Linked DNA regions of Macaca fascicularis. The protein of the gene in region 4 purifies or fractionates together with the protein of the main gene of each other region. This does not show direct contact. Links are inferred from orthologs where the notes say so. Each region holds a gene or a part of one and is shown on either strand. Other genes may lie near its edges. The genes, in order: NEK2, ANAPC7, ANAPC13, ANAPC4, anaphase-promoting complex subunit 11, CCNA2 and ANAPC16.

Evidence for each region.
Region 1: the proteins of ANAPC4 (region 4) and NEK2 purify together in Homo sapiens (affinity purification with mass spectrometry; 6 studies listed by BioGRID and IntAct, with this or other methods). This does not show direct contact. The link is inferred for Macaca fascicularis from reciprocal best matches to the Homo sapiens genes ANAPC4 and NEK2.
Region 2: the proteins of ANAPC4 (region 4) and ANAPC7 purify together in Homo sapiens (affinity purification with western blotting; 14 studies listed by BioGRID and IntAct, with this or other methods). This does not show direct contact. The link is inferred for Macaca fascicularis from reciprocal best matches to the Homo sapiens genes ANAPC4 and ANAPC7.
Region 3: the proteins of ANAPC4 (region 4) and ANAPC13 purify together in Homo sapiens (affinity purification with mass spectrometry; 9 studies listed by BioGRID and IntAct, counting the BioPlex papers as one, with this or other methods). This does not show direct contact. The link is inferred for Macaca fascicularis from reciprocal best matches to the Homo sapiens genes ANAPC4 and ANAPC13.
Region 5: the proteins of ANAPC4 (region 4) and anaphase-promoting complex subunit 11 purify together in Homo sapiens (affinity purification with mass spectrometry; 8 studies listed by BioGRID and IntAct, with this or other methods). This does not show direct contact. The link is inferred for Macaca fascicularis from reciprocal best matches to the Homo sapiens genes ANAPC4 and ANAPC11.
Region 6: the proteins of ANAPC4 (region 4) and CCNA2 purify together in Homo sapiens (affinity purification with western blotting; 3 studies listed by BioGRID). This does not show direct contact. The link is inferred for Macaca fascicularis from reciprocal best matches to the Homo sapiens genes ANAPC4 and CCNA2.
Region 7: the proteins of ANAPC4 (region 4) and ANAPC16 purify together in Homo sapiens (co-immunoprecipitation; 10 studies listed by BioGRID and IntAct, with this or other methods). This does not show direct contact. The link is inferred for Macaca fascicularis from reciprocal best matches to the Homo sapiens genes ANAPC4 and ANAPC16.

Annotation. Positions count from the first base shown.
Region 1 is NC_088375.1:69,486,037-69,490,291, forward strand, and holds the start of NEK2 (serine/threonine-protein kinase Nek2), read right to left. Parts: upstream 2,801-4,255; 5' UTR 2,653-2,800; coding exon 2,557-2,652; intron 1,718-2,556; coding exon 1,500-1,717; intron 915-1,499; coding exon 674-914; intron 1-673. UniProt on the Homo sapiens protein: Protein kinase which is involved in the control of centrosome separation and bipolar spindle formation in mitotic cells and chromatin condensation in meiotic cells.
Region 2 is NC_088385.1:117,273,664-117,277,764, forward strand, and holds the start of ANAPC7 (anaphase-promoting complex subunit 7), read right to left. Parts: upstream 2,801-4,101; 5' UTR 2,708-2,800; coding exon 2,607-2,707; exon of another isoform or gene 1,807-2,606; intron 859-1,806; exon of another isoform or gene 804-858; intron 1-803. UniProt on the Homo sapiens protein: Component of the anaphase promoting complex/cyclosome (APC/C), a cell cycle-regulated E3 ubiquitin ligase that controls progression through mitosis and the G1 phase of the cell cycle.
Region 3 is NC_088376.1:37,392,895-37,397,124, reverse strand, and holds the start of ANAPC13 (anaphase-promoting complex subunit 13), read left to right. Parts: upstream 1-1,430; 5' UTR 1,431-1,537; intron 1,538-1,567; coding exon of another isoform or gene 1,568-1,901; exon of another isoform or gene 1,902-2,073; coding exon of another isoform or gene 2,074-2,247; exon of another isoform or gene 2,248-2,782; intron 2,783-4,230. Other genes in the region: CEP63 (centrosomal protein of 63 kDa), read right to left, coding at 1,626-1,901. UniProt on the Homo sapiens protein: Component of the anaphase promoting complex/cyclosome (APC/C), a cell cycle-regulated E3 ubiquitin ligase that controls progression through mitosis and the G1 phase of the cell cycle.
Region 4 is NC_088379.1:24,532,265-24,534,569, reverse strand, and holds the end of ANAPC4 (anaphase-promoting complex subunit 4), read right to left. Parts: intron 1,391-2,305; coding exon 1,267-1,390; intron 855-1,266; coding exon 627-854; 3' UTR 501-626; downstream 1-500. UniProt on the Homo sapiens protein: Component of the anaphase promoting complex/cyclosome (APC/C), a cell cycle-regulated E3 ubiquitin ligase that controls progression through mitosis and the G1 phase of the cell cycle.
Region 5 is NC_088390.1:88,270,450-88,274,558, forward strand, and holds the start of anaphase-promoting complex subunit 11, read left to right. Parts: upstream 1-1,309; 5' UTR 1,310-1,690; intron 1,691-3,455; exon of another isoform or gene 3,456-3,518; intron 3,519-4,109. Other genes in the region: ALYREF (THO complex subunit 4), read right to left, coding at 277-408, 910-1,167. UniProt on the Homo sapiens protein: Together with the cullin protein ANAPC2, constitutes the catalytic component of the anaphase promoting complex/cyclosome (APC/C), a cell cycle-regulated E3 ubiquitin ligase that controls progression through mitosis and the G1 phase of the cell cycle.
Region 6 is NC_088379.1:126,897,726-126,902,008, forward strand, and holds the start of CCNA2 (cyclin-A2), read right to left. Parts: upstream 2,801-4,283; 5' UTR 2,563-2,800; coding exon 2,350-2,562; intron 1,576-2,349; coding exon 1,332-1,575; intron 23-1,331; coding exon 1-22. UniProt on the Homo sapiens protein: Cyclin which controls both the G1/S and the G2/M transition phases of the cell cycle. Functions through the formation of specific serine/threonine protein kinase holoenzyme complexes with the cyclin-dependent protein kinases CDK1 or CDK2.
Region 7 is NC_088383.1:74,182,332-74,185,722, forward strand, and holds the end of ANAPC16 (anaphase-promoting complex subunit 16), read right to left. Parts: intron 1,319-3,391; coding exon 1,203-1,318; 3' UTR 501-1,202; downstream 1-500. UniProt on the Homo sapiens protein: Component of the anaphase promoting complex/cyclosome (APC/C), a cell cycle-regulated E3 ubiquitin ligase that controls progression through mitosis and the G1 phase of the cell cycle.

The DNA.
Region 1 (4,255 bases), on a different chromosome or scaffold from region 4:
AAAATCCATTTCATTTTTGTAATCCTTAAGTTTAATGCATTGTAATCATTCCATAAAAGCTTGAACTGAATATGCTTTAATTTGCATGAATGCTCAAAAAATTGAACCCACTGAGAGATGACAAACAGTAGCAAACCTTAGAGTAGGAATCTGTCTTCATCATACTTACATTATTACACATAATTCATGAAGCAAACAAAAACTCATAGACTTTATTGGTCTGGTGGTCCATGTGGAAAAATATAACAGTATTTTCAATTCTTAAACAAACAGAAAACTCAATTTCCCTGCTTCAGAATGCTTAACATTAAAAGATGTTTTGGCTGGGAGCGGTGGCTCACGCCTATAATCCCAACAATTTGGGAGGCTGAAGTGGGCAGATTGCTTGAGGTCAGGAGTTTGAGACCAGCCTGGCCAACATGATGAAACCCTGTCTCTACTAAACATACAAAAATTAGCCGGGCATGGTGACATGCACCTGTCGTCCCAGCTACTCTACTCGGGAGGCTGATGCAAGAGAATCCTTTGAACCCAGGAGGCAGAGGTTGCAGTGAGCCGAGATCGTACCACTCCACTCCAGCCTGGGCAACAGAGCGAGACTCTGTCTCAAAAACAAACAAAAAAACAAAAATAAAAGATGTTTTAAAAAGTATCTAAATTCTGAAATACTTACAGGAGACATGTAATAAGGTGTGCCAACAAATGTTTTTGCAAAACTCGTGTCGTGGTTTAATATTCTAGCTAGCCCAAAGTCTCCAAGCTTGACGTTTTGCTTGCCATCCAGGAAAACATTGGCTGGTTTCAGATCCCGATGCAATACAGTATGACCACCATCGCTTCGTCTGTGGCATTCCTTCAGGGCCAGAGTCAACTGAGTCATCACTCGAAGAACAAACTCTTCATCTAAGTATTGCCTGAAACCAAAGCAGTTATACAGCATATAACTTCTAAAAAAAAAAAAAAATCGTTGCCAAGATGGGATGATATAAATTATCCAGTGTACTAATAGGGAAATAAATTATTTATTTATTTATTTATATTTTTTGAGACAGAGCCTTGCTCTGTCACCCTGGCTGGAATGCAGTGGCACGATCATGGCTCACTGCAGCCTCGACCTCCCAGGCTCAAGCAATCCTCTTGCCTCAGCCTCCCAAGTAGCTTAGACTACAGGCACATGTCACCATACCTGGCTAATTCTTGTAGAAACAGGGTCCTACTATGTTGCCCAGGCTGATCTTGAAATCCTGGGCTCAAGTGATCCTCCTGCATCGGCCTTCCAAAGTGTTGGGATGACAGGTGTGAGCCACCACACTCAGCCTATAGATTGTTATTTTGATATAAAATATGGGTGTTGATTCACCGGGAATTTTCTAAAGTACTATGGACCTACCAAACAAATGCAAGTATACTCTTCCATATTACTGATCCTAAAACAAGATGCTTAAAATAAATGAAAGTAGACCTAATTTCAGCTTACATTTTTAAAAGATTATGCTTACCTTTCCTTGGTTCCCTTTGTAATCACACTAGCCAGATCCCCTCCTTCACAATATTCCATTACAATGTACAGTGTTGTGTTGGTCCGGTCAATAATTCGATCATAGTAACGAACGATGTTTGGATGTTTCAGTTCACGAAGCAAATTCACTTCAGAAACAAGCATCTGTTTCTCAGTTTCTGTCATGGAGCCATAGTCAAGTTCTTTCCAAACTAATATCTAAAATAAGAATTTCCAAGGTATGAATGAACTCATTACGCTCAAAAACAAAGAATGAAAGTTCCAAGATTTAAAAAATAACCTTCCTTTTAATTATATCCTACAATCAAGGTCATTATCTAATTTAGTTCAATGAACTTAAAGAACTGTGAGTTTACTTCCATAATCTTCTTTCAATTTCTAAGCAGTAAATGATGTTGTAGGGAGATAAAGGGGAATAAGGCACATGAGGTCTCCCCCAACCCCTACCCTCAGTTGGTTAGTGGGAAGTTGGCAAAAAGGTACTTTAGTCAAAATTGGGGTGGAGGTGGTCAAAGTCCCTGCCCCATTCCACCTCAGTCGTGTTTTCCCAGGATGAGACACCTTGGAAAAGCAGCCAGGCAGTTTCCTGTCCAATATTACTTTCTGTAAAAGGTCTACCTGTATACATTGGGAAATATGAATCCAATAATCCGAATAATGGGTATTTTGAGGGAGTCTGACTGCAGATACAAAGCTTCGGGTTCTGGTGGTCCTGCCCCTTTCTTGTGTCTGAGAGGGCCACTCTTAGAGCTCTAAAAACAGCTCAGGAGTTAGCTACGTGTCACCAATGGAAGGTCCTTAGCAACCCAAAACAGAAGAGAGAAATGGGGAGAGAAACGGGAAAAGATGGAAATACATATATCAAAAGACGCGGTCTCCCATCCTTTAAGCGACCCAGGACAGGCTGTCAGATGCAGACTCAGTAAAGACGGCTGAGTCTTCCGGGCACCCACTTCACCAGCCCTCTCGGTTCCCTTCGGTGGCGCAGGGCGCTCGCCCCTAAGCAGGGGCTGGCACAGGGAAGGGACCACGCTCACCTTGCCGTCACTCTTCCTCCGGATCTTCTGGCAGCGGCCATAGGAGCCTGTGCCAATGGTGTATAACACTTCATAGTCCTCAGCCCGGGACGGCATGGCCGGCCAGTCGCCAGAGTCGCGCTGCCTCACGCAGGTTGCGCCCCCAAATGCGGAGCTCCAGGGACCGGGACCGGGAGCTTCAGGGACCAGCACGGAGAAGCCCCCGAGCAGCGCTAACCAGTCACCCTTGCCTTCGGCCCCGTTTAACTGTCGCGGGCCCTGATCTCGCAGTCTATTGGCAGGCGGTGGGCCCGCTTCGCCTCTCTGATTGGCTAAGAAGAACACAACAATACCCTAGGCATCTTGGGAAAAGTGTCACTAGGCAGCCGCGTCGGCGTCTGCTTTTAACCTGTGGGAGCAGGGGGCGGAGCTAAACCAAAGGGAGGGCGGGAGAAAGGAAGCGGCAGCAGGCGCCTCTTGGCAACTCTAACCCTCTGGTAGAGATCGCCAAGGTAACCGAGATCGAAGGACCTCCCCTCAGGCTTCTTTGCACACAGCTTCCACCAAATGCCTTCTGACCTTTGCACTCTGGCCCCTCACACTACCTACTCTCCCCGGAACACGCCTTCCTCGCTCAGGTTCCAGTACCCTGAACCTGGGTGGGGTCACGTTGAGGACACGCTGAGAGCTGAATACAAATTAGAAATTAGACTGGGCGCCGTGACTCACCCTCGCCCGTAACCCTAGCACTTTGGGAAGCCGAGGTGGGTGGAACGCTTGAGCCCAGGAGTTCAGACCAGCCTGGGCAATATAGCAAACCTCGTCTCTACTGAAAATACGAAAATTAGGCCGGGCGCAGTGGCTCACGCCTATAATCCTAGCACTTTGGGAGGCCGAGGCAGGCGGATTGGGATTGCTTGAGGCCAAGAGTTCAAGACCAGCCTGGCCAACATGGCGAAACCCCGTCTCTACTAAAAATGAAGAAAAAAAAAATTAACCGAGCATGGGGGTGCATGTCTGTAATCCCAGCTTCTTGGGTGGCTGAGTCATGAGGAACTGCTTGAACCCGGGAGGCAGAGGTTACAGTGAGCAGAGATTGCGCCACTGCACTCCAGCCTGAGTGACACAGTGAGACCCAGTCTCCAAAAAAAAAAAAAAAAGAAGAAGAAATACAGTCGCTCTCTGACCAAGCACTTTACACATCTTGTCCCGTTTATGTGTGCCAAACACATAATTCACCCTATTGACAATACTTCATTGAACACAGATTCTTTGTTAGGCACCCACACAAACCAACTTTCCCAGCTTACCCAGCCAAATGAACAGTCCCATGTTTACCAGGGAAGGAGCACCTAGAGGCCTCCATCCAGGGCTTGTTGGAGAAATACGTACATTACCAGAAAGCTAATAATTTGGCAATGCATAAACAGGCCAGTTTTCTTTAAATATCTATTTGGCATAGGATTAAAAGAAACCTGATTTTCTATTAATAAGAATTTAAAAGCTCTTTATGTTAAAATAAGGGACTTACTACATGCACTGAATATAACATAAGATAACTGGAATTGCCAACCAGGAGAATTTTTAAATTAACATTCAAGGGTACTGTCTTACCTCAGGGGAATAGGACAATTTTAGGTTTCAAAAGTTATGTAAGGCACTGCAGATGGCTATGTTAATTAGCATCATTTTTTATTTTTGTGCCTCTTACAGATCGGTA
Region 2 (4,101 bases), on a different chromosome or scaffold from region 4:
AGAACCAAGTGAAAGGTTCCAGAATAAACACAGAAGGCTGACAGAGACCAGGGCTCCTGTCAACATGAAGTGGATGGTGGCAAAATGATGGGTCTCACTAGTAAGGTCCAAAGCACACTAATGAGGCCGGGCTCGGTGGCTCACGCCTGTAATCCAAGCACTTTGGGAGGCCTAAGTCATGGGGATCACTTGAGGTCAGGAGTTCGAGACAAGCCTGGTCAACATGATAAAACTCCATCTCTATAAAAAAAAAAAAAAATTAGCCAGGCGTGGTGGTGCGAATCTGTAATCCCTGTTACTCAGGAGGCTGAGGTGGGAGGATCGCTTGAGCCTGGGAGGTGGAGGCTGTAGTGAGCCAAGATCGCACCACTGCACTCCAGCCTGGGCAACAGAGCAAGACTCTGACTGAAAAGCAAAACAAAACACCAAAGCACACTCATGAAAATCCAATGGGCAGCAGCAGCTGCATTGTAAGCACTTTAAGGACCTTTCCCTTCTGACCTAGACCAGCTTCTATAGCAGGCCAAACACTAATACATCTACAGAGTAGAAGTTTCCATGATAATGCCATTTGGAGGTAGCAGACTGGTGGCTCAGAATGGAGACTCTCCAGTCAGAGAAGACCAGGTCCAGACATTGTACTCCTCCATTTATTAGATGTGTGAACTCAGACAAGGGTATTTCACCTCCCTGAAGTTGTACTCACTTCCTCAACACACTCAATAAGCATGTGAGTGCTTAATGCGCACATCCACTGTGCTTTCAATTGCTAGGCGATGCGAAGGGTAGAAAAGTGGGAGTACCTGAGAGTCCTGGGAGTCAGAGAAGGTTCTCTAGGAGAGATGTTCAGGCTAAAACCTGAAGGAGGAGGCAGCGCTGAGATAAGGACCGTTGCAGCAGGAACAGCAAGTACAAGGGCCCAGAGAACACGCTTGGTACATTCAAATAACACAAAGAGGCCAAGCGCGGTGGCTCACGCCTGTAATCCCAAAATTTTGGGAGGCCGAGGTGGTGGGATCACCTGAGGTCAGGAGTTCAAGACCAGACTGGTCAATATATTGAAACTCCGTTTCTACTAAAATTACAAAAATTACCTGGGCATGTGGCGCTCGCCTGTAATCCCAGCTACTTGGGAAGCTGAGGCAGGAGAATCGCTTGAACCCAGGAGGCGGAGGCTGCAGTGAGCCGAGATCGCGCCACTGAACTCCATCCAGCCTGGGCGACAGAGCAAGGCTCTGTCTCAAAAAAAAACAAAAATAAATAAAAATAAATAAATAACAGAAAGAATAGCCAGAGAGGCTGGAGAGCAGTGAACACAGTAATGAGATGAAGTAGCAGAGAGTGAAGGGCAGATAGTTCCTTTCGGAGGCCATGGGAAATAATTTTCATTAGTGCAATAAATGATTTTTTTTTTTTTTTAAGACGGAGTCTCGCTCTGTCGCCCAGACTGGAGTGCAGCGGCGCGATCTCGGCTCACTGCAAGCTCTGCCTCCCGGGTTCCCGCCATTCTTCTGCCTCAGCCTCCCCAGTAGCTGGGACTACAGGTGCCCGCCACCACACCCGGCTAATTTTTTTGTATTTTTTTAGTAGAGACAGGGTTTCACCGTGTTAGCCAGGATGATCTCGATCTCCTGACCTCGTGATCCGCCTGCCTCGGCCTCCCAAAGTGCTGGGATTACAGGCTTGAGCCACTGCAACCAGCCAGTGAAGGATTTTAAGCAGGAGAGGGACATGTACTTAAGGATGGACACTCAAGGATGGAATCAGCCCAGTGCTTCAATGAAACAAGAAAGGCGCCACGCCCACCCATTAATGGAATCTCCCGTTTCTTTTTTGAGACAGGCTGTCGTTCTGTCGCACACGGTAAAGGACAGTGATGCGATCACGGCTCACTGCAGCCTCGACCTTCTGGGCTCAAGCAATCCTCCTGCTTCAGCCTCCCGAGTAGCTGGGAACTCAGGCACGCACAATCACGCCCGGCTAATTGTTTAATTTTTATTTTTCATAGAGGCAGGGTCTCCCTATGTTGCCCAGGTTAGTCTTAACTCCTGGGCTCAAGCGATCCTCCCGCCTCGGCCTCCCAAAGTGCTGGTATTAGAGGCGTGAGCCATCGCGCCCGGCCCCGTTTTCAGGGGTTTCCCAAGGCGAGAAAGTGGACCCTCCTGATACACTTAATGGGGTGACCAATCTCAGATGCGGGGCTAGAGCATAAAAACCAGGAGGCTGGGTCCCGGAGCTGCAGCGAGAGAAAAAAACGTTCTCTGGAAGGAGCCGAGAGGGGAGGATTCGGCCCAGCGATGTGACAGTCGCGCTACCCCGCGACAGGTGCCTCAGAAAACCCTCGCCTGGGTCGTCCTCAGAGCCTCTGCCTTCTATTTCTCCAAGCCGCCGCTCGCCACATCTCCGCAGGGACTTGACGCCGGCACCCAGTGAACCCAACTTGCGCTCCGAAGTCTGCTCCGCTCCACTACGCCCTCGCAGACGCCGGAGCCTCCGCTGGTGCGGGAGGCCGCTCCTTCCCGCCTGTTCCCGCGTGCCCTGAGCCCCCGGTCCCAGACCACTGCCGCTTTCTCCTCAGCCCCAGGCCGCTCCCCGCCTCAACTCACGGGTTGTTATTGCTCATTGTAAGTAACAAGCTGCTGAGGAGCCGCACGTTGGAGTGCAGCCCCGCGGCCGCCATGTCCCGCACGTGGTCTATCACATTCATCCTGCCCTGCAAGGCCGCGGGCAGCGGCGGCAGCACTGTCTCGAAAAACCGGTAAGGGATCCTTAGGGAAGACTCCAAAATGGCCGCGTCGCCGGGGTCCATCGGGTCCACACGCGGCACCGCCCCCAAGCAAAAGGTAACTACTGAAGTGCCCGAATAAAAAGAAACTCGAGTCCCTGCTCCTGTCGTGGTCCCTTTCCGGTGAAATGAGTTGTTACTTTTACGCAAAAATTACGTCATCATCCTAAACTGCAAAATTTACTGAGGACTTACAATGAGACAAAAGTCACCTTAGTAAGACTACTTGGTCAATTTGAATGAGTCTGAGAGGAATTTGGGCCTCTCAGAAATTAAAATGTGTGAGCACTTACCAGAAATAAAATATAGTAAGGTGAGGAAAAGCGCTCCAACTGGAATTAAATATTCTAATCGGGCGCCAGGGACAGACCTAACGGCTTTTACAGTCGCGCATGCGCACCAGGCAGGGGCCGCCGCCTCCCTGCTCAGGTGTTTTGTGTTCCTGCTAAAGTCAGGCTTTGTCCCTGGATGAACTTGTTAATTCGAGGGGCGTATTTTACCATGTAAAATGATTCCCTAAATCCGTGGAAATAAAGACTAGATCCAGGAATTAGCTGATACCCATATAAACCAGCATGTGTCTGGCACAGTTAACTTTTTACAAAAGTTTTACACAAGTTATTGGACGTTCACAACAATCCATAAAGTTGAAGTTGTCTTTCCCTTCTCACAAGGGAAGAAACTGCCTGCTTAAATTTTGTGCTCAGGTTGTTAAATGGTTGACTTGGAATCAGATCGCCAGTGGTTAAATGTGATGGATCGCAAACTCGAATGTATACAGAGACCAGGGAGGTAACTGAGCCAATGAGGCAGTTTAGGTATTTGAATCAGAATCCCAATATCCTCCACAATCACCCTCTCAGATATAGCCTTTCGCTCCTTTCTTGAAGGAGACAGTTGTTTTGGTCTATATTTTGTTTTCATTTGATTTTTAGAGTAACAGATGCAAAAAAAAAAATGCTCTGAAAAAATCACGGTATATCTTCACCAGTCAACTTTTTCAGCTCTTACATTTTGTCACAGTTGAAGCTCCTGTGATCCTTTTCCCATCTCATCCCCTACTCTAGTTTTCTGGATGTATGAGACCTTTGATGTGATTTTGGTAGGCATGATCACTGTGAACTTTTCTTTTTTTTTTGAGATGGAGTTTTGCTTTTGTCGCCCAGGTTGGAGTTCAAAATCTCAGCTCACTGCAACCTCTGCCTCCCGGGTTCAAGTGATTCTCCCTGCCTCAGCTTCCTGAGAAGCTGGGATTACAGGCACCTGCCACCACTGTCACGCACGTCCGTGTGAAGAAACCACCAAACAGGCTTTGT
Region 3 (4,230 bases), on a different chromosome or scaffold from region 4:
GTTGGTAGGTAATGCTCACTCGCCTGTCACTCACCTCCTGCTCTGTAACCTGGTTCCTAACAGGCCACGGACTGGTAGTGCTCTGCAGCCCCGGGTTTGGGGGCCCCTGGTTTAGAAGCCATAAAGGCAACAGAGATACCTGTTAAAGGATACTGTGCAATGTAATCTGCTAAATTTAGAACTGTAAGGAAAAATAGGGGCTAATCCCATAGCTATAGCTATGAGGGAACTGCTATAGATTAAAAGATGTCAAATATGCATCACCCAAACACAACAGGCAGATCCCTGTGGGATTTTGGTTCAAACAAGCTAACTGCAAAAAAGACATTTAAGAGAGAGTTGAAGAAATCGTAATCTGACTGGACATTGACATTAGAGAATTTTCATTAATTTGTGTATGTGTAATGACAGTAGTGTGGCTTTGCAAAACTGAAAGACCTAGCTCCTGACGGGGGCGGGCAGGGGACTAAAATAACATAAAGATCGGAAATTCAGTTCCTGAAACCTTGTGTCAATGTTGGCTTTAGCTGAATTCCAAATCAAGTTGACATTTTTTGAAAGCAGGAAGCAATGACAGAGTGGACTACTGATGCTGTCACCATCTGCCAGCACAACGTAAATTAGAACAGAAAGGACTAAGCAAAGGCATTCCACCTTTTAAAGAGAGAAAATGGCATCAGTACAATCAACATATACAATTTTTACAAACAACTTTTAGAGTTGCATCTACATACATTTTAAAAGGCAGTGTGCCTGTTTATAAATCTCTACCCCATTTTAGTTTCAGAGCCTTTTTTACTACCCTGATCACTGATCATGCCACAGTCAAAAGGCAATCTCAAAAATTAATCTAAAAATAGTACTGCATTCCAAATAAGAAAATATATATACTTTGTTTTACTATTAAGCTACAGCTAACAGAAATCTAATCAACGATCCTTGATTTTCTCTTACCTAAAAAATAAACGCAAGCACGTGAGGAACTGTATAAATACAGAGCATCTACCCTACAATACTGCTTTATAAAAGAATAAATTCTTTTAATAAGTTTAACCGGACATAAAGCTCAGGGAAAACTACTTTGTGCATATTAGTGTACGGTGCTTAAACTATACAAGATGACTAGTCTCTGACATCATACACATCTTTACTCTCCTGATGTCGTATACGACATAAAAAAAACCACATTATAAGCCTAAATGTACTGTCTTCAAGTATCTCCATGATTAAAGTGTTCCTAAGAAACCGTCCTTGTTTCTTTCTATCCCTGATCTGTGTGCATGGAGCAGTTAGTTCAGGGTTCTCCAATTTCAGTCCACGATTTCTGCCATAATTCCGTACCTGCTGTACTAAACATAACCGTTTACACCAACTCACTATTTTAAAAGCTGCCAACCTTAACATGCCACCCTAAATGAGCGGGTCCCCTTGTGCCGTGAATGAAGTAGTCCTAACAGCGCTAGCTAAACAGCAGCCCTGGCCGGGAGGCCGCACAGGGGTACCTCCGCTGAAAAGAAAGGTGGGTCCGCCGGGAAAGGTGAGTACTGGGCGCAGCTCGCCCGCCCACCTGGCTACTCTCCGAAGCGCCCCCAGCCACCCGGCCTCCGAGGAAACGCTGTGACCACCTGGCGGGGCCGAACCGCGCGCCGGGCTGCGCCATGCCGGACTACGCCGGTGTGCAGGGCATAGCGGGCCAGGCCGAGGGACGGGGCTCCGGGGCGGACGCGAGCCGGCGGGGAGGCGCCTGGTGGTTCGCAGACTGTTGCGCGAACCGGCCGCAAGCCATGAGGCCGCGAAGCCAGAGTCACCAAGGCAGCCTGGGCCGCCTCCGGACCAGGACGCGCTCGCCCCTTGCGCTTCCGTCTTGCGCACGGGCGGTTACACGGCTGCAGCAAGCGCATCCCTCAGCCTTCCCGCCGTTACCTCGGCCGTGCACTGCGCACGCGCGCCACCACTAAGCTTACGTCCAGCCTCAGCAGTCGGAGCGTTCGTTCCGCCCACTGCCCCCACACTTTTAATAATTGAATCAATGTCTGCTCCAGACTTCCCCTGCACGCGAGCAAATGGACTCACCCACATCCGGGAATCCGAGAAAGAGCGTGCAGACGCGTGATGCGGTGCGAGGCAGGAGGAAGCGTCTGCCGCGCTGGGCCGCGTAACGGTAAGGGTTTGCAGCGCCCCCGGCCTAGGTTTTGGAGGCGCGGGAATGCGTTCGTGGCTCAGTGTCGGACTTCCCCCTATTTCCATCGGCCGAGGCTGTCACTTTACGCTCATAACCGTTTTCTTTACTGCACGCTGTGTCGGGAGGAAAGGGACTTGCTTGGCACCCCAGACCTCCCCGTCTCCGCTTCCACGTTTGGTACATCCTGCGTCAGGCCGGAAGCCGCGGCTGAGGGGCGGCCTCTCGTACAGTGTGGTGGCCTGCGAGGCTCATTTCTAGCAAGGAACAATATTTTTCCCGCTTTGACCTTACAGATACATGTTTACAAAGCTATAATGTATAGAAATGGATAAGACATGTCCCTGTCCCGGGAAACGCAGGCACTGCGTGTCTGGAAAGACATACATCTGGGCTGTTTGACAGGCTACCTAGTTGGTGCCATGCTCTGTGCTTAGGGAACTATGAGATCCCCGGTGGGTACCGGGACCGCGCTCAGCCTGAGGTTTGGAGGCGGCCTCCTGCAGGAAGCGACTTGAGACCTGAGATTTTTAGACTGACTATGGGTTCGCTGGAATAAAAAGGAAGAAACAAACAGCATTGCAGGCATCGGGACTGTCACGTGTAAGAAAAGTTTGTTCAGGAAACAGTTGTCGTATTGTGTGACGAGTACTTGGGACGGTGGCTGTGCCTTGGGCGTTGATTATCTTGTTGCTTTCCATCCTTCCAGCCCCTTAAGAGTGAAGGCACCTTCACGCCTAACCCCGGAAATGGGATGTTGACCTCCAAGAGCTGACGCCTGCGTTGATCTTGAAAGGAAGAGTGGCATTAGTGATGTGGAAAGGGGGGTTTTAACTGTCAAGGCTGGAAAATGTGACAGGGTTTGAGGTGTTTGGAGAAGGGACAGGTGAAAAAGATTGAGGCCAAATTGTAGAAAGATCTACTAAGGAATCCTGGGTACAAAATGTACACATAACAGTTGGAGACAATAATACCTGAGCAATTGATCACAAAGCTTGTTTAGTAGATTTAAGTTAGGACAAGAAGCAAGAGTTCAAGGATAGAAGGCCTACTGAAGCTCGAGTGATCTGAGAAAACCTTACTAAAAGGTGGAAAACCTATGTGGGCCTGGGAAAGTCAGGTTTGGATCAGCTGAGGAAAGTGAAAAGGGTATCCCAGGAGACACAGCAGCAAGGACAAAGGAGTAGCAGCAGGAAAGTGGGGAGCTCTTATAAGACAGGGACTTCAAAAGTATAACCAAAACTTCGTCTTGCTTTGAGTTATCCACTGGGTAGTAGGGGGTTAATTATTGAGTACTGGATTAATTAAGCCCTCACCTGGCTCACCGGTGACAAGTAGCAGGGCGCGTTTTGCTTAAGTTTTGCCCAGATCTTTTAAACCCTTTCCTACACACCAATCTGTGTATAATTTTTGCCAAGGTGTTGGGGATATCTTGCAGTTATCCTATGGGGGACATCTGTGAGCCTTTTTTTTTTTTTTTTTTTTGAGACCAAGTCTTTTTTTTTTTTTTTTTTTTTTGAGACGGAGTCTTGCTCTGTCACCCAGGCTGGAGTGCAGTGGCCAGATCTCGGCTCATTGCAAGCTCCGCCTCCCGGGTTCATGCCATTCTCCTGCCTCAGCCTCCCGAATAGCTGGGACTACAGGTGCCTGCCACCACGCCCGGCTAATTTTTTGTGTTTTTAGTAGAGACGGGGTTTCACCGTGTTAGCCAGGATAGTCTCGATCTCCTGACCTCGTGATCCGCCCACCTCGGCCTCCCAAAGTGCTGGGATTACAGGCGTGAGCCACCGCGCCCGGCCATGTGAGCCATTTTTACAAAAACTTCCACCTGCCTTGGCCCAAACCTCAGCATTCTTAGGCACAGGAGCTCATGAACATACTGAGATAACACTAAAATGGACTATGGGAAGGGACCAACTACAGACCTGACACAAATCCTCAAGGCAAGACGATGTCTGAAGTTGACCTTGTAAAGGAAAAGGCTTCCTTCCTTAAAATAGCACCCAGGCTGAGCTCTGAAAAAAGCACCTCAAGATGGTGGGTTCCACCCC
Region 4 (2,305 bases):
ATTTCAATGTAATTTCTTCCTGATACAGAAACAATTCCTGATACCTACCCTTCTGACAGAAAATATTAGACTTTTTCTTCACATTCAATTTGTTCACTTTCTTTCTTTTTTGAGACACAGTCTCACTCTGTCACCCAGGCTGGATGGAGTGCAATGGCATGATCTCAGCCCGCTGCAACCTCTGGCTCCCGGGTTCAACCGATTCTCATGCCTCAGCCTACCAAGTGGCTGGAATTACAGGTGTGTGCACCACGCCCAGCTCATTTCTGTATTTTTAGTAGAGTTGGGTTTTGCCATGTTGGCCAGGCTGGTCTTGAACTCCTGACTTCAAGTGAGCCACCCACCCAGACTCCCAAAGTACTGAGATTACAGGTGTGAGCCACCATGCCTGGCCCTGTTTTCTTTAAACACTAGTTCTGTACATAGCATTAAAGAGAAATCTCAGAAAAAATAAAGTGTATCAGAGTGACTGTATCACTAAGAGAAGATGAAGCAGAATATGAAAAAATAAAATTTACTGTTTATTTCTTTGTTACACAAAGAAAATTAAAGGTGGTCCAAGACATCTTAGTCCATCTCCTATGTCCTTCTGGCCATAATTACACACACAACAATGGCAAGCTAGATTAAGAGTCTAGCTCAGGGTCAAGTTTTTCCACTTTAATGACTATCTCCGGAGCGAAAGCAGCAGCACCAGCTTGTTGGTTCTCTGTCTCTGACTCCGACAACACTTCTTCCTTTATTTTTACAGGCTTATTACCAGCCTCCTCCTCTTCATCTGAAGACTCATCGAGCTCCCATTCATCATCTATGTCCATTTCAAATACTCTCACATGACGAAGATTTGAGCTTAACTAAAAAAGAAAGGCCATAAAAGCACTTTTAAATTAATGGCTTAACTAATATATCATATATAAGGAATTAGAAATCAGAAGTCTGAATCAAAGAATGGTTTTATAGGAAACATATTCCCATCAATTTACAACAAAATCAATAAACTCAGCCTTCATTTTGTATAAAAAGGTCTCCACATAACAACAGTGGCAATTTCATGAGATTAAAATCTAGAATTATTAACTGCTTAGTAAGCTTTATCAGAACGAGAGAATAGCTAAGTCCACATGACCATAATCAATACAAGCTATAAATCACAGCAAAAATATTTGCACAAAAGGACCTTACATGTCATGTATTTGATGAAGGTTCCAAAGAAGCAATGTTACTTCTTGTAATTTCTTAGTTGCTGAACGATCTGTAAACACTTACCACACAGGATACTTTTCGAAAACCATTCCCAGCAACATACTGTGCTTTCATACTTTCCAGTAATCTCCAATGCTTCTCGAAATGCATGGTACGGGTGGGAATAGCACTACATTGTTCATCTAGCCTAAAGAGGGAAAAAACCCACCCAGGAATGAAAAGGGGATCTTCTCCTCCCTAGTTTGCTACAGGTGGTATTAGGGTCAATTATGGCTTTGACTTCTACTCATACTTCCACTTCCAATATAATTTTAGCAACTGTTGTATTAAAAAAAGAGCTGTGATATAATATTCTATAAAAATTCCATATTCTATATTCTGGCTGGGCACAGTGGCTCATGCCTGGAATCTCAGCACTTTGCGAGGCCAAGGTGGGAGGACTGCTTGAGTCCAGGAGTTCAAGGCCGGCCTGGCCAACAGAGTGAGACTCCATCTCTGTAAAAAATAAAATAAAATTAGCCAGACAAGGTGGCACATGCCTGTAGTCCCAGCTATGAGAGGCTGAGGCAGGAGGGTCACTTGAGCCCATGAGTTTGAGGCTGCAATGAGCTATGATTGCATCACTGCACTCCAACCTGGGTGACAGACACAAGCTCTGTCTCAAAAAAAAAAAAAGAAAATACTGCAATTCCAAATAGGCAGAATATCATTTTAGCAAGGTTTCTGACTCCCTTTCAAGGAAAGCAAATGGATACATTTTTAAATTAGAGATCTGCTTACTTAAGTCTCAGTTAAAGCCATCTCTTGGAATTGACAGTATACTTCCCACATGGGCACTGAGGTCTTAATTCTGGAAGGAAAATACTGAAGGCAAATCAAAAATAACTAATTCCAACCAACTAGGGTTAATGCAATCCTTGAAAACGTAACTAAAAGAAGTCCCATTCTCCACTCCAAATAATTCCCCACCTTGATTCCAGCAAATACTTCCTGATTTACTAGTAAAGCGAAGGGATAAAAAAAGCTATTAAGGCCAGCATATTTTGAATATAAATTGGAGCACTTCTGCTCAGCTACCTCTGTGGTTACCCCTAGTAATGAA
Region 5 (4,109 bases), on a different chromosome or scaffold from region 4:
GTTTTGGTCCCTGTTAGAAACTGGAAGCCCTGGCTGGGGATGTTCACTCACAGAACCCATCTTCACACTATCAGCAGCAGTTCCTCAGGCTCGGCTAGGCTCGCACCTGCCTGCGGACTGAGCCCGGCTTTACTAGAGCTAGGTCTGTCCTGCAGCCCTTGAGAGCTGGGAGCGCTCCCTTCGCTAAGGCGGGAAGGGGACTCAGGGCCCCCTCCCCCAAATCACGATCGGTCCTGTGCAGGGCGAACGGCTCACCGAGAAGCCCTCGTCTCTTACCTGAATATCGGCGTCTGAAACTCCAAAATCCAGATTGGACACCAGCAGTTTCCCACCCGTCTCCACGCCGGCACCACCCCCGAAGCCACTGTCGAAAAGATCGTGCTGCCACTTGTCGGGAAGTTGTTTTGGCTGAAGAAAAAAAACCGCAACAACAGCAGATCCGTGAGTCTCAGTCCAGGCCTTTCCTGGCCCTCACGGCTACTCCGGACCCTTCCTCTTCCCGGCCTGAGAGGATCCGGCCGAGACGGGGCCGCCGGCGCTCCCTCCGGCGCAGCAGCTGCCCCAGCCCGAGGCGGCACGGTCCCACCGCGGCCGCACAACTTCAGTTCCCTTCGACTAACTTCCCGCCGCCGGTGCCGCGCCCAGCGTCCCCTCCTCTCCTGCCGCCACGAGGCCCCGGCGGCCGGAACAAACAAAGAGCCGGGAAGGGTCTCAGCCTCCGAGACCGGGCCCCGAAAGAACGACCTCGCTCCCGCCCACCACCCCCTCCGCGCCCACACGCACCCTCCGGACCTCCGGGCGGCCGCTCCACCGGCCCTATCTGTCCGCCGGCCCGGGTCTCCACCGCGAGACGCCCCGGCCCCGGCTGGTCCCCTCCCGCTCTCCGGCGCGGCCGGCCTCCGCACTCACCCTGCTGTAGGGCGCCGGTCGGTTCCTGCCGCCTCCGCCGGCCGCGCCGCGGGCGATGGCCGGCCGGTTCCGGATGGGCCCGCCGCCTCGACTCACTCGCGCGGCGGCCTGCGCCCCACCGCCGCGACCGCCCTGGGAGCCGGCCCGGCCGCGGCCCCGGCCCCCGCCGCGGCCGCCTCGTTGGCTCCGGTTCAGTTTAATGATGTCGTCCAGAGACATGTCCATTTTGTCGGCCATGGCGGGCGCGGAATCGGGCATCGGCTCGAGCCCGCGCGTCAGCACGCCGGCGCGTCACTTCCGGCGCCTCGTGAGGCCTTCCGGTGCCACGGCCTCGGAGCGACTGCTGATTGGCCGCCGGCGGACGGCTGCGCGCGCGGGACGGGGTGAGGCGGGAAGGCGCGTGCGCACTGGCTCGCGGGACTCGGCGGGCGCTGCTGAGGGAGCCGGGCCGCGACTGAGGTCGTTTTTATACCTTCCCGCGCGGACGCCGGCGCTGCCAACGGAAGGGCGGGCAGGGCGGCGCGTGATTAGGTTGGCGAAGGTGCGAGGGCGCAGGGGGTGGGGCGGCAGCCGTTGGGGGCGGAGCCTGCGCGCCCCTCCCTCCCCGCACGCCCCACCCGATCGCCCTGGGCTGGGGGCGCTGGGGGCCCTGCGGGCGCGGCGGGTGCCCGGCAGCCGCTGGGAGTCCTTGTTTCCGCTCCCGCCCGGGACTGTGCGCTCGGCTCGCGGCGGGGTCCAGCGGAGGACTCGGCGGGCGACAGCCGCCGCAGAAGAGCTGCGGGTTGGTTGTTTGGTCCCCACCTGCAGACCCCCGAGTCTGCACTCTCACAATTTGCTAGTCATATCCTTTACAAGTTTTCGTGCGCGGTCACGCCTGCAATCCCAGCGCTTTGCGAGGCCGAGGCAAGAGGTTCGCTTCAGCCCAGCAGTTTGAGACCAGCTGGGGCAACACAGTGAGACCCCATCTCTTAAAAAAAAAATTAGTTGAGGCCGAGACGGGCGGATCACGAGGTCAGGAGATCGAGACCATCCTGGCTAACACGGTGAAACCCCGTCTCTACTAAAAAATACAAAAAAACCCTAGCCGGGCGAGGTGGCGGGCGCCTGTAGTCCCAGCTACTCGGGAGGCTGAGGCAGGAGAATGGCGTAAGCCCGGGAGGCGGAGCTTGCAGTGAGCTGAGATCCGGCCACTGCACTCCAGCCTGGGCCACAGAGCGAGACTCCGTCTCAAAAAAAAAAAAAAAAAAAAAAAATTAGTTGGGTTTGGTGGTGCACTTTTGTACTACCAGCTACTTGGGAGGCCGAGGTGGGAGGATCGCTTGAGCCCAGGAGGTCGAGGCTGCAGTGAGCCATGATGGCACCACTGCACTCCAGCCTGGGTGACAGAGCCAGACCCTGTCTCCAAAAGAAATTATATGACATATTTGCAACTTATTAATGAAAACCAATGTGCTATTTCATGGAATTTTTTTTTTTTTTTTTTTTTTTTTTGGAGACAGTCTTCTTTCACCCAGGCTAGAGTGCAGTGGGGCAGTCTTGGCTCACTGCAACCACTGCCTCCTGGGTTCAAGCGATTCTCCTGCCTCAGCCTCCCAAGTAGCTGAGACTACAGGCATGTGCCACTACACCCAGCTAATTGTTGTATTTTTAGTAGAGAAATTAGTTGTATTTTTAGTAGAGACAGGGTTTCGCCATGTTGGTCAGGGTGGTCTTAAACTCCTGACTTCAGGTGATCCGCCCGCCTTGGCCTCCCAAAGTGCTGGGATTACAGGCGTGAGCCACCTACACCCAGCCCACTTCATGAATTTTAAGTTGTTTTGAGATATTTGCTTTTGTTTTTGTTTTTTGAGTCAGGGCCAGCCCATTTCATGGATTTAAGTTGTTTTGAGATACTTGCTTTTGTTTTTGTTTTTTGAGCCAGGGTCTCCCCTTGTCACCCAGACTGGAGTGCAGTGGTGTGATCTTGGCTCACTGCAGCCTTGAACTCCTGGGCTCCAGCTATCCTCTCGCCTCAGCCTCTCAGGCAGCTGGTGCATGCCACCACAGCAGGCTTTTTTTCTTTTTTTTTTTTTGAGACAGTCCCACTGTGTCGCCCAGGCTGGAGTGCAGTGCTGTGATCTTGGCTCACTGCAACCTCTGCCTCCTGGGTCCAAGCGATTTTTGTGCCTCAGCCTCCCGAATAGCTGGGTGCTGGGATTATAGGTGTGCGCCACCACGCCTGGCTAATTTTGTGTGTGTACGTGTGATGGAGCCTCACTCTGTTGCCCACGCTGGAATGCAATGGCATGATCTCGGCTCACTGTAACCTCTGCTTCCCAGGTTCAAGTGATTCTCCTGCCTCACCCTCCCGAGTAGCTGGGATAACAGGTGCCCACCACCACACCCGGCTAATTTTTTGTATTCTTAGTAGAGACAGGGTTTCAGTATGTTGGCCAGGCTGGTCTTGAACTCCTGACCTCAAGTGATCCACCTTCCTCGGCCTCCCAAAGTGCTGGGATTACAGGCATGAGCCGCCACCTGCAGCTAATATTTTTGTATTTTTGTAGAGACGGGGTTTTGTCATGTTGGCCAGACCCACTTGAGATCTTTGAAGATATCCTCAACATGAGGTAAAATGAAACTCCTGACAGTGTGACCTCTCTGTCCGTGAGGAGCTGAGTTCCCTCCCTGGGAGAGAAAAGTGTGCCCTTTCTCTAGACGGCTAAAGAAACCTCACAGATAGTTCTTTCTTTTCCTTTTCTTCTTTTTTTTTTGGTAGAGACAGTCTCACTATGTTACACAGGCTGGTCTCAAACTCCTGGGCTCAGGCGATCCTCCCAAGTTGGCCTCCCAGAGTGCTGGGATTACACTCGTGAGCCACAGTGGATTGCTGCCAGGGCTCGCTGTTCTGCAGTAGCTCCCCTGTAGCCCTGACCCTCTGTACCCAGAGCCCTTTACCTGTTATTTGTTTTAATAGAAATGGGGCTCACAGCAGGGCACGGTGGTTCACGCCTGTAATCCCAGTACTTTGGGAGGCTGAGGCGGCAGATCGCTTGAGGCCAGGAGTTTAAGACCAGCCTGGCCTACGTGGTGAAACCTCGACTACTAAAAGTACAAAAATTAGTCTGGTGTGGAGTCGCGTGCCTATAGTCTCAGCTACTCAGGAGGCAGAGGCACAAGAAATGAGGTGAGATCATGCCACTGCGCTCCAGCCTGGGTGA
Region 6 (4,283 bases), about 100 Mb from region 4:
ATGTCCATAGTATGTGGTGACTCTGGGACAATTAAAAAGATATGATTAAATTAATTGTTTGTCTACTTAGTTTAATAGCTAAAAATGACTGCCCTTGTAAGGAATTTCATATTAACAAAGCACTTATTTCATCAAACTAAAAAGAGCTTCTCATGACGAAAAAGGTAGAATATTTTACCTTAGTCTCAGTATCTCTGTACATATAGCTTTGGAATGATTTTAGTTAATGAAGGGGGAAAGAAAACCATATTAGTAGGCCCCTAACAGGAAAACGAGAATCAGGTATTATCTTAAAGTATCCATCTTCCACAACAGAAAGGAGCAGATGGCATGGTGGTTCTGTTAGGACAGAACATTTAAAATCCAAGTTTTGAGATAATATCTAAGATTTGCCCTAAGAGAGACTGCAGATCCCAGAGTCTGACATATACAAAGCCCAATTAGGCGATAGCTAGAATCAGTTAAATGGCCTCCATTAACAAGTGTTATTAAGAAATTAGGTTTGTTATGGGCAAATGGATTAACACTATAAATTTATTTTTTGTAGTATAAATTATCTTTTGAAGCAAAGAGTATCATCCATTATTCTTTTCGCTTCAAAGATCACCTTGAGATTAAACATTTTCTGCAAAATTTTGATAAAAACACACAAATTATTATTTCCAAAGGACTTTTCCTGCTCACCCCTCCTTCCCCACGATCTATACAACTAAAACTAAAATGAGACTGGATTTAGTGAGCTGTCCAGTGACTCGATATCCCTAGGGCAAAGAAACAGTACAAACTGCAAAGAGCTGTTTGCAGCAGCTACTTTAATACATGGGTAAGAGTAAACAGCCATGGTACAACTGTTTACTTGTAGGAGGAAAAGTGTCACCTTCTGGTATCAGATGATAATCCAGACTGGTTTTATAGAAACAAAATTATAAAACTGGAAGAGATGTTATGTAATCACAATATTTAAGACTGCATCTTCAAATAGCACTCTCTAAGTGATATATAAGTGAGTTAAATAAAACTGAAATCTATTCTCCCAACCAAGAACACATTTATGGGATCAGATTAAAATAAGCATTTAAGATCTAATTATAATTAGACTGATGTGACTGGCAGTGAACCTGAAAGAGCACTAGGTTAGGATCCTTTTGTACATCACCAGGTCGAGTGTTAGCTGTGAGATCTGAGATAAGTCACATCCTTTCTAAGCCTTGTTACATTAAACCTAACTCACTGTAATCAAAATGACTACATAAGACATCTTAAAATGCAAATCATTAATATCTAATAATTATAATTACCGTAAATTCATATAGATTTTCCTTAAAACTTACCAAAACTACCATCCATTGGATAATCAAGAGGGACCAATGGTTTTCTGGGTCCAGGTAAACTAATGGCTGAATTAAAAGCCAGGGCATCTTCACGCTCCGTTTTTTGAGATTCAGCTGGCTTCTTCTGAGTCTCTTTTTCTGCTTCATCCACATGAATGGTGAACGCAGGCTGTTTACTGTTTGCTTTCCAAGGAGGAACGGTGACATGCTCATCATTTACAGGAAGATCCTTAAGGGGTGCAACCTAAACAAAAATAAATAACTGGCTTTGAGCCTACTAAATAGTTTTGCATTCTTTCTCTTATGGGTGTTGGCCTTTGCTTTTTCTCCCAAATACTCTATCAGGAATTAAACTTTCTGGGACAAACAATAGTTTGAGTATTCAAAAGAGAAGGGATGTTCCCATTTGTCACAGGCATTCCCACAAAGGCTATCAATAGATAACACTAGGTGGAATTATGCAAAACTAATCAGGGCCACAAGAAGGGTCGGGTGGCAAGTCAATACATGACAAGTTTAGGAAAGACATGGCAAAAAAGTGTTGGTTCACCACTGTCGCCCGAGGGTGGAGCAACAGAGCAAATCCGGCTAAAATGGCGGAATTTGCCAAAAGCAAAGTTATTTCGTACACCCTTTTCTAAAGTAGAGGTTATCTCTTAACCATGAGGAGGAGGGGGGTCAGAGTCCTACAGTAGTGCCTGGGGTTTAAAAGTGGAGAGAAAGGCGCGGAGCTGAGCGAAGACTACACGTTTTAGAGCTTGGTTTGACCCCATTATGTACAGGCAGATGCCACCTATAGAGAGCAGACAGGCAGCATACACAGTGTTGGCGGGGTCCTGATGCTAATAATGGGAGAATTCCTATTGTGGCATCCCACACACCAGCACCAAGTGGACTCCAGACTCTGGCCCCCTTCCAAAAGCCCAGGACATGCCTTCTCGCCACTCTTCTCTGCCTGCTAAGCCAGTGCCAAACCCTGCTCGACCCACCCTCCTGCAGACATCCCGCATCCCTTTACCCGTCGCGTCTTCGGCCTCTGCTGCTGCGCTAGACCCCGCGGGTTCCCGGCCTTCAGTACCGCCAGCGCGGCCCGGGTCCGCGGTTGCTGGACGGGCGCTGCCTTTTCCGGGTTGATATTCTCCTGGTCCTCTTGGAGCGCAGTCTGCTGCAATGCTAGTAGCGCTGAGCCCGCCTCGCGGGTCGCAGGCCCCGGCGCGGAGTTGCCCAACATCACTGCTCCCGGGAGTGGACGGCGGGATCAGCCTGCGGCGCCAAGCAGCGTGCACTCTGCCCAGCCCACCCGGCCAAAGAACAGTCGTAGCCGCCGGTCGCAGCCCAGGCCAGCCTACCCGCCCGCCCGCTCACCCAGCTCGAGACCACGCAGGGTCGAGGAGGTTGCGAAAGGCGCAGGAAGGCACGGCCGGGCGTGGCGGGCCAAAGACACCCCGAGATGTAGCGAGCAGCCCGCCGGAGCGGCGGCTGTTCTTGCAGTTCAAGTATCCCGCGACTATTGAAATGGACCAATGAAAGCGCTCGCGGCCTTGACGTCATTCGAGGCGACAGGGTCGCAAGCGAATGAAGGAAGCACCAAAGGACTCTGAGCAGGGGCGGGGCAGGAGGGAGAAACGAACTGGGGCTGGGGCGGGAGAAAACGCCTGCGCGGGTCGGGGAGAGCTAGGGGTACTCAGGGCCCGAGCTTCCGATTACTTTGAGCCACCTAGAGAGCGAGGCGGTCCAAAGGCTGACTCTAAGCCTTTTAGGGAATTAAGCGGAATTAAACTTTGGCGACTATCATTTGGGCTGCCCAGCCTTTAGCTCTGGGACCTCTAGTTAGCTCAAGTGACTTTTTCCCAAGGTCTAAAATCTGGACCACGTTTTTCAGTATCTCCGATTCTCCGTTTTCTTATTTGTTAATAGGGACTAATAACTACAGTCAAACGGTTATTAGGATTAAATAATGTGCATAAATTAACACGGAGCTCACATAGTAAGTAATACAGTACTCAAGTGTCAGACTGTAGTAATATCTTAACATTTAGGCATTTATTCATAGTAACCAGAAATTGTGTTTTATGCTTTTTATTTTTCCTAATGAAGATGCAATTAAGTGCCACCTTGAACTACTGTTGATATATATATAATAAATATACAATGCATTACAAAATATTCAAATAGAGTCATTAATTTTTATCTATTTTTCCCCAAGCTGTGGCAGCCAACAAAAAATACAATGACATTCTAGTGACCTAGATAAATTATGTTCCTTTCAGAAGTAAAGTTTCTTTAAATATAGTAAAAACAATATGATCTTATTAAAATAAAATTCTCTTAACTATATATGTGCCTGTAACAAATTTTAATATTTATATACAAAGCTTGCACGTACCTAGTAAGTATAATAGCATATCATTAAGAAGCATTGTTTTCTAAAAAATTAGTGAGTCTGCCCTTCTTGAAACAAAGCTTATTTTCCATTATCTTTATGCCATTTTAAGACGTTTCAATATTTCTTTGAAATTAATAAATATGAATTAAGATTAATGTACAAAACTTCTGTAGCCTTAATGTCATATATGATAAAAAGAGATCATACTGGTATAGGAAAATCTAAGATGGCATCACTATTTCTGCACTCTTCACTTGTAGCATGCTTGAATAGCTCCACTGGTTACAGCATGTCTAGTTAAGATCCCCCGACTCTGTGTAAGCTCTTATTTCCCTGACTACAATTTATAGCACTGAGCCAAGTCCAGCATTTCCACAAACTGCAGCAGAGTCATAAAACATCACCAAGCAAAAGGAAAATCAGTTGCAAATCAATCCTATCTCCTAGAAAAAATAATTGGTAGGTTACTTCCACTAGCTGGCAACATACATAGTAACCAGGACACAAAGCAAGTACCAGTACTTGGGTTCTGGTCCCAGCTTTATAAAGTACTAGCATGTCCTCTT
Region 7 (3,391 bases), on a different chromosome or scaffold from region 4:
CAAGGAACAGACAAATGCTGTCTAAGGCAAAATTTGCATACAAGGTAATATATGATTATCCCAGTTGTTTACTGTGGAACGTGGGGTCCCATGAGGGAAAACAAAGTACATCTCTTAGCCTTCCAGGTTTTTCCCTATCATGGTATAAAAACTTACTTGAGGCCAGGCACAGTGGCTCATGCCTGTAATCCTAGCGCTTTGGAGGCCGAGGTGCGGGGGGGATCTCTTGAGGCCAGGAGTTCAAGACCAACTGGGCAACAGAGCAACACCTTGTTTCTTAAAAAAAAAAAAAAAAAAAAAAAAAAAAAAAAAAAAAAACCTACTTAAATTATCAGTAAGATAAATTCATGTATTCCTATAAAGACACATATCCCTGAAGAAAAGCCAGTCTACCATTTGTTTAGGAGAAACGGTTTTTAGATTCTCTTCTTCTAAAAAGTAATTTGACCTCTTTGCCTCATCCCAAATCCCTCAGATTTTGAAAGAATAAAGCCACCAACTTGGAGCTCTTTCAAAGGATTTATTTGCTACAGAATTGCTTGAGTCCACCAATGAGAAGAACTCAGGATTTCTGTGTTTAAAAGGATTTTGCTTACTGCTTTATTTTTACAAGTGTTGCCATATCCAAAAAGCACTTCTTTTTGCCAGCATTTAGCATGTCAAGAAGAGGTTAGAAAAAGTTAGAATCTATAGAATTGATGTCTAAAAATAGGAAAAAAAATGAATATTTAATCCTCATTTGGATAGCTCCTGAGTTGAAATCACATTCATCTGCAAAATAATTTTTTAGGTCAGAATGCTGTATTTTTAACCACAGATGCTGACCTTGACCTTGACTGGTGAATATTTCCAGGCACCGTATGGATGACAGGACAGATGCCAATCAGTTGGCCAAATCTGATATATGCCCTACCTGGCTTGTGAAAATTTTTAAGTATCTCTTAACCCCAAACCTCTTGGTTCTCTGAAACCGACTGTCTTAATCTGATTCCCAATACTTTTAAAAACAAACAAAATATTCCCTGAAAGATCATACATATAAGTATTTGTTGCCTGTGAATAGATACAGAGAAACCAAGTACAAATGTGCATTAACAATTCAGCGATGTAGCTGTGGATCTCTGGATGGCTATGCAAGCTGTGAGAAAGTCCCCCACTGGCTTTGCACTTGCTGCGCACCAGAGGCGACCATCCAGGCAGCATCAACCTGAAGATGGGGTGAATCCCAGCAGCTGCTCGATGGGCTTAAACCGCCACTCGTCAGCCTCCAGCTCTTCTACCAAACCAGCTAGTTTTTCCATCCGAGCAACTTGCTGATCTGTAAAGAGTCGAGGAGAAAATACTATACAACAATGTATTACCCATGAGACTGCCACCAGCCACCAAGATGATGACTGGTATAAAAATAATTTCTAGGCCGAGTGCGGTGGATCATGCCTGTAATCCCAGCACTTTGGGAAGACGAGGCGGGCGGATAACGAGGTCAAGAGATCGAGACGATCCTGACCAACATGGTGAAACTTTGCCTCTATAAAAATACAAAAAATTTAGCTGGATGTGGTGGCATGCGCCTGTAGTCCCAGCTACTCGGGAGGCTGAGGCAGGAGAATCGCTTGAACCCTGGAGGCAGAGGTTGCAGTGAACCAAGATTGTCCCACTGCATTCCAGCCTGGCGACAGAGAGTGAGACTCCGTCTCAAAAAAAAAGTCAATTTCTAGATGGATTTTTTTTCCCCTCAAGATTCTCTCTTTTTTTTTTTTTTTGCGGGGGGATGGACTTGCTTTGTTGCCCAGGTTGCAGTGCAATGGCGCCATCTCAGCTCACTGCAGCATCCGCCTCCTGGGTTCAAGTGATTCTCCCGCCTCAGCCTCCTAAGTAGCTGGGACTACAGGCATCCACCAGTGCCCGGCTAAGTTTTGTATTTTTGTAGAGATGGGATTTCACCATGTTTGCCAGGCTAGTCTCGAACTCCTGACCTCAGGTGATCTGCCTGCCTCGGCCTCCCAAAGTGCTGGGATTACAGATGTGAGCCACTGCGCCTGACCCTCAAAATTCTCATAATGGGGTCTTATTCTATGCTGGTCAGAAGCTTAATTTTTTTTTTCTTTTTTCTTTTTTTTTGAGACAGAGTTTCACTTTTGTTGCCCAGGCTGGAGTACAATGGCATGATCTCAGCTCACTGCAACCTCTGCCTCCCGAGTCCAAGCGATTCTCCTGCCTCAGCCTCCCGAGTAGCTGGGATTACAGGCATACGCCACCATGCCTGGCTAATTTTGTATTTTTAGCAGAAATGGGGTTTCTCCATGTTGGTCAGGCTGGTCTGGAACTCCCGACCTCAGGTGATCCGCCCGCCTTGGCCTCCCAAAGTGTTGGGATTACAGGCGTGAGCCACTGTGCCCGGCCTATTCTTTTTTTTTTTTGAGACGGAGTCTTGCTCTGTTGCCTAGGCTGGAGTGCAGTGGCGCGATCTCGGCTCACTGCAAGCTCCGCCTCCCGGGTTCACACCATTCTCCTGCCTCAGCCTCCCGAGTAGCTAGGACTACAGGCACCTGCCACCATGCCCAGCTAATTTTTTTGTATTTTTAGTAGAGACGGCGTTTCACCGTGTTAGCCAGAATGGTCTTGATCTCCTGACCTTGTGATCCGCCTGCCTCGGCCTCCCAAAGTGCTGGGATTACAGGCGTGAGCCACAGCGCCTGGCCTTTTTTTTTTTAAGTCGGAGTTTCTTCTAATGTTAAAAGTCATTTTAGGCTGGGCATGGTGGCTCATGCCTATAATCCCAGCACTTTGGGATGCCAAGGCAGGTGGATCACAAGGTCAAGAGATCGAGACCATCCTGGCTAACATGGTGGGTGAAACCCCGTCTCTACTAAAAGTACAAAAATTATCTGGGCGTGGTGGTGGGTGCCTGTAGTCCCAGCTATTTGGGAGGCTGAGGAAGGAGAATCACTTGAACCCAGGAGGCGAAGGTTGTAGTGAGCCATGATCATGCCATTATATTCCAGCCCAGGAGACAGTGAGAGACTCCATCTCAAAAAATAAAAAAGTCATTTTAAAATAAAATGATCACATTTTCAGGATGTGCCCTATTCTTTTTTTTCCCAGAGACAGGGTCTCACTCTGTCATGAAGGCTGGAGTATGCCTCCTGGGTTCAAGCAATCCTCCCACGCCAGCCTCCCAAGTAGCTGGGACCACAGGCATGTGCCACCACTCTCCACTAATTTTATATATATATATATATATATATTTAGAGATGGGTTCTCACCATGTTGCCCAGGTCAGTCTTGAACTCCTGGGCTCAAGCAGTCGTCTTGCTTCAGCCTCCCAAAATGCTGAGATAAGAGGTGTGAGCTACCGCACCCGGCCCGGATGTGCTCTGTTCTTAAAAAA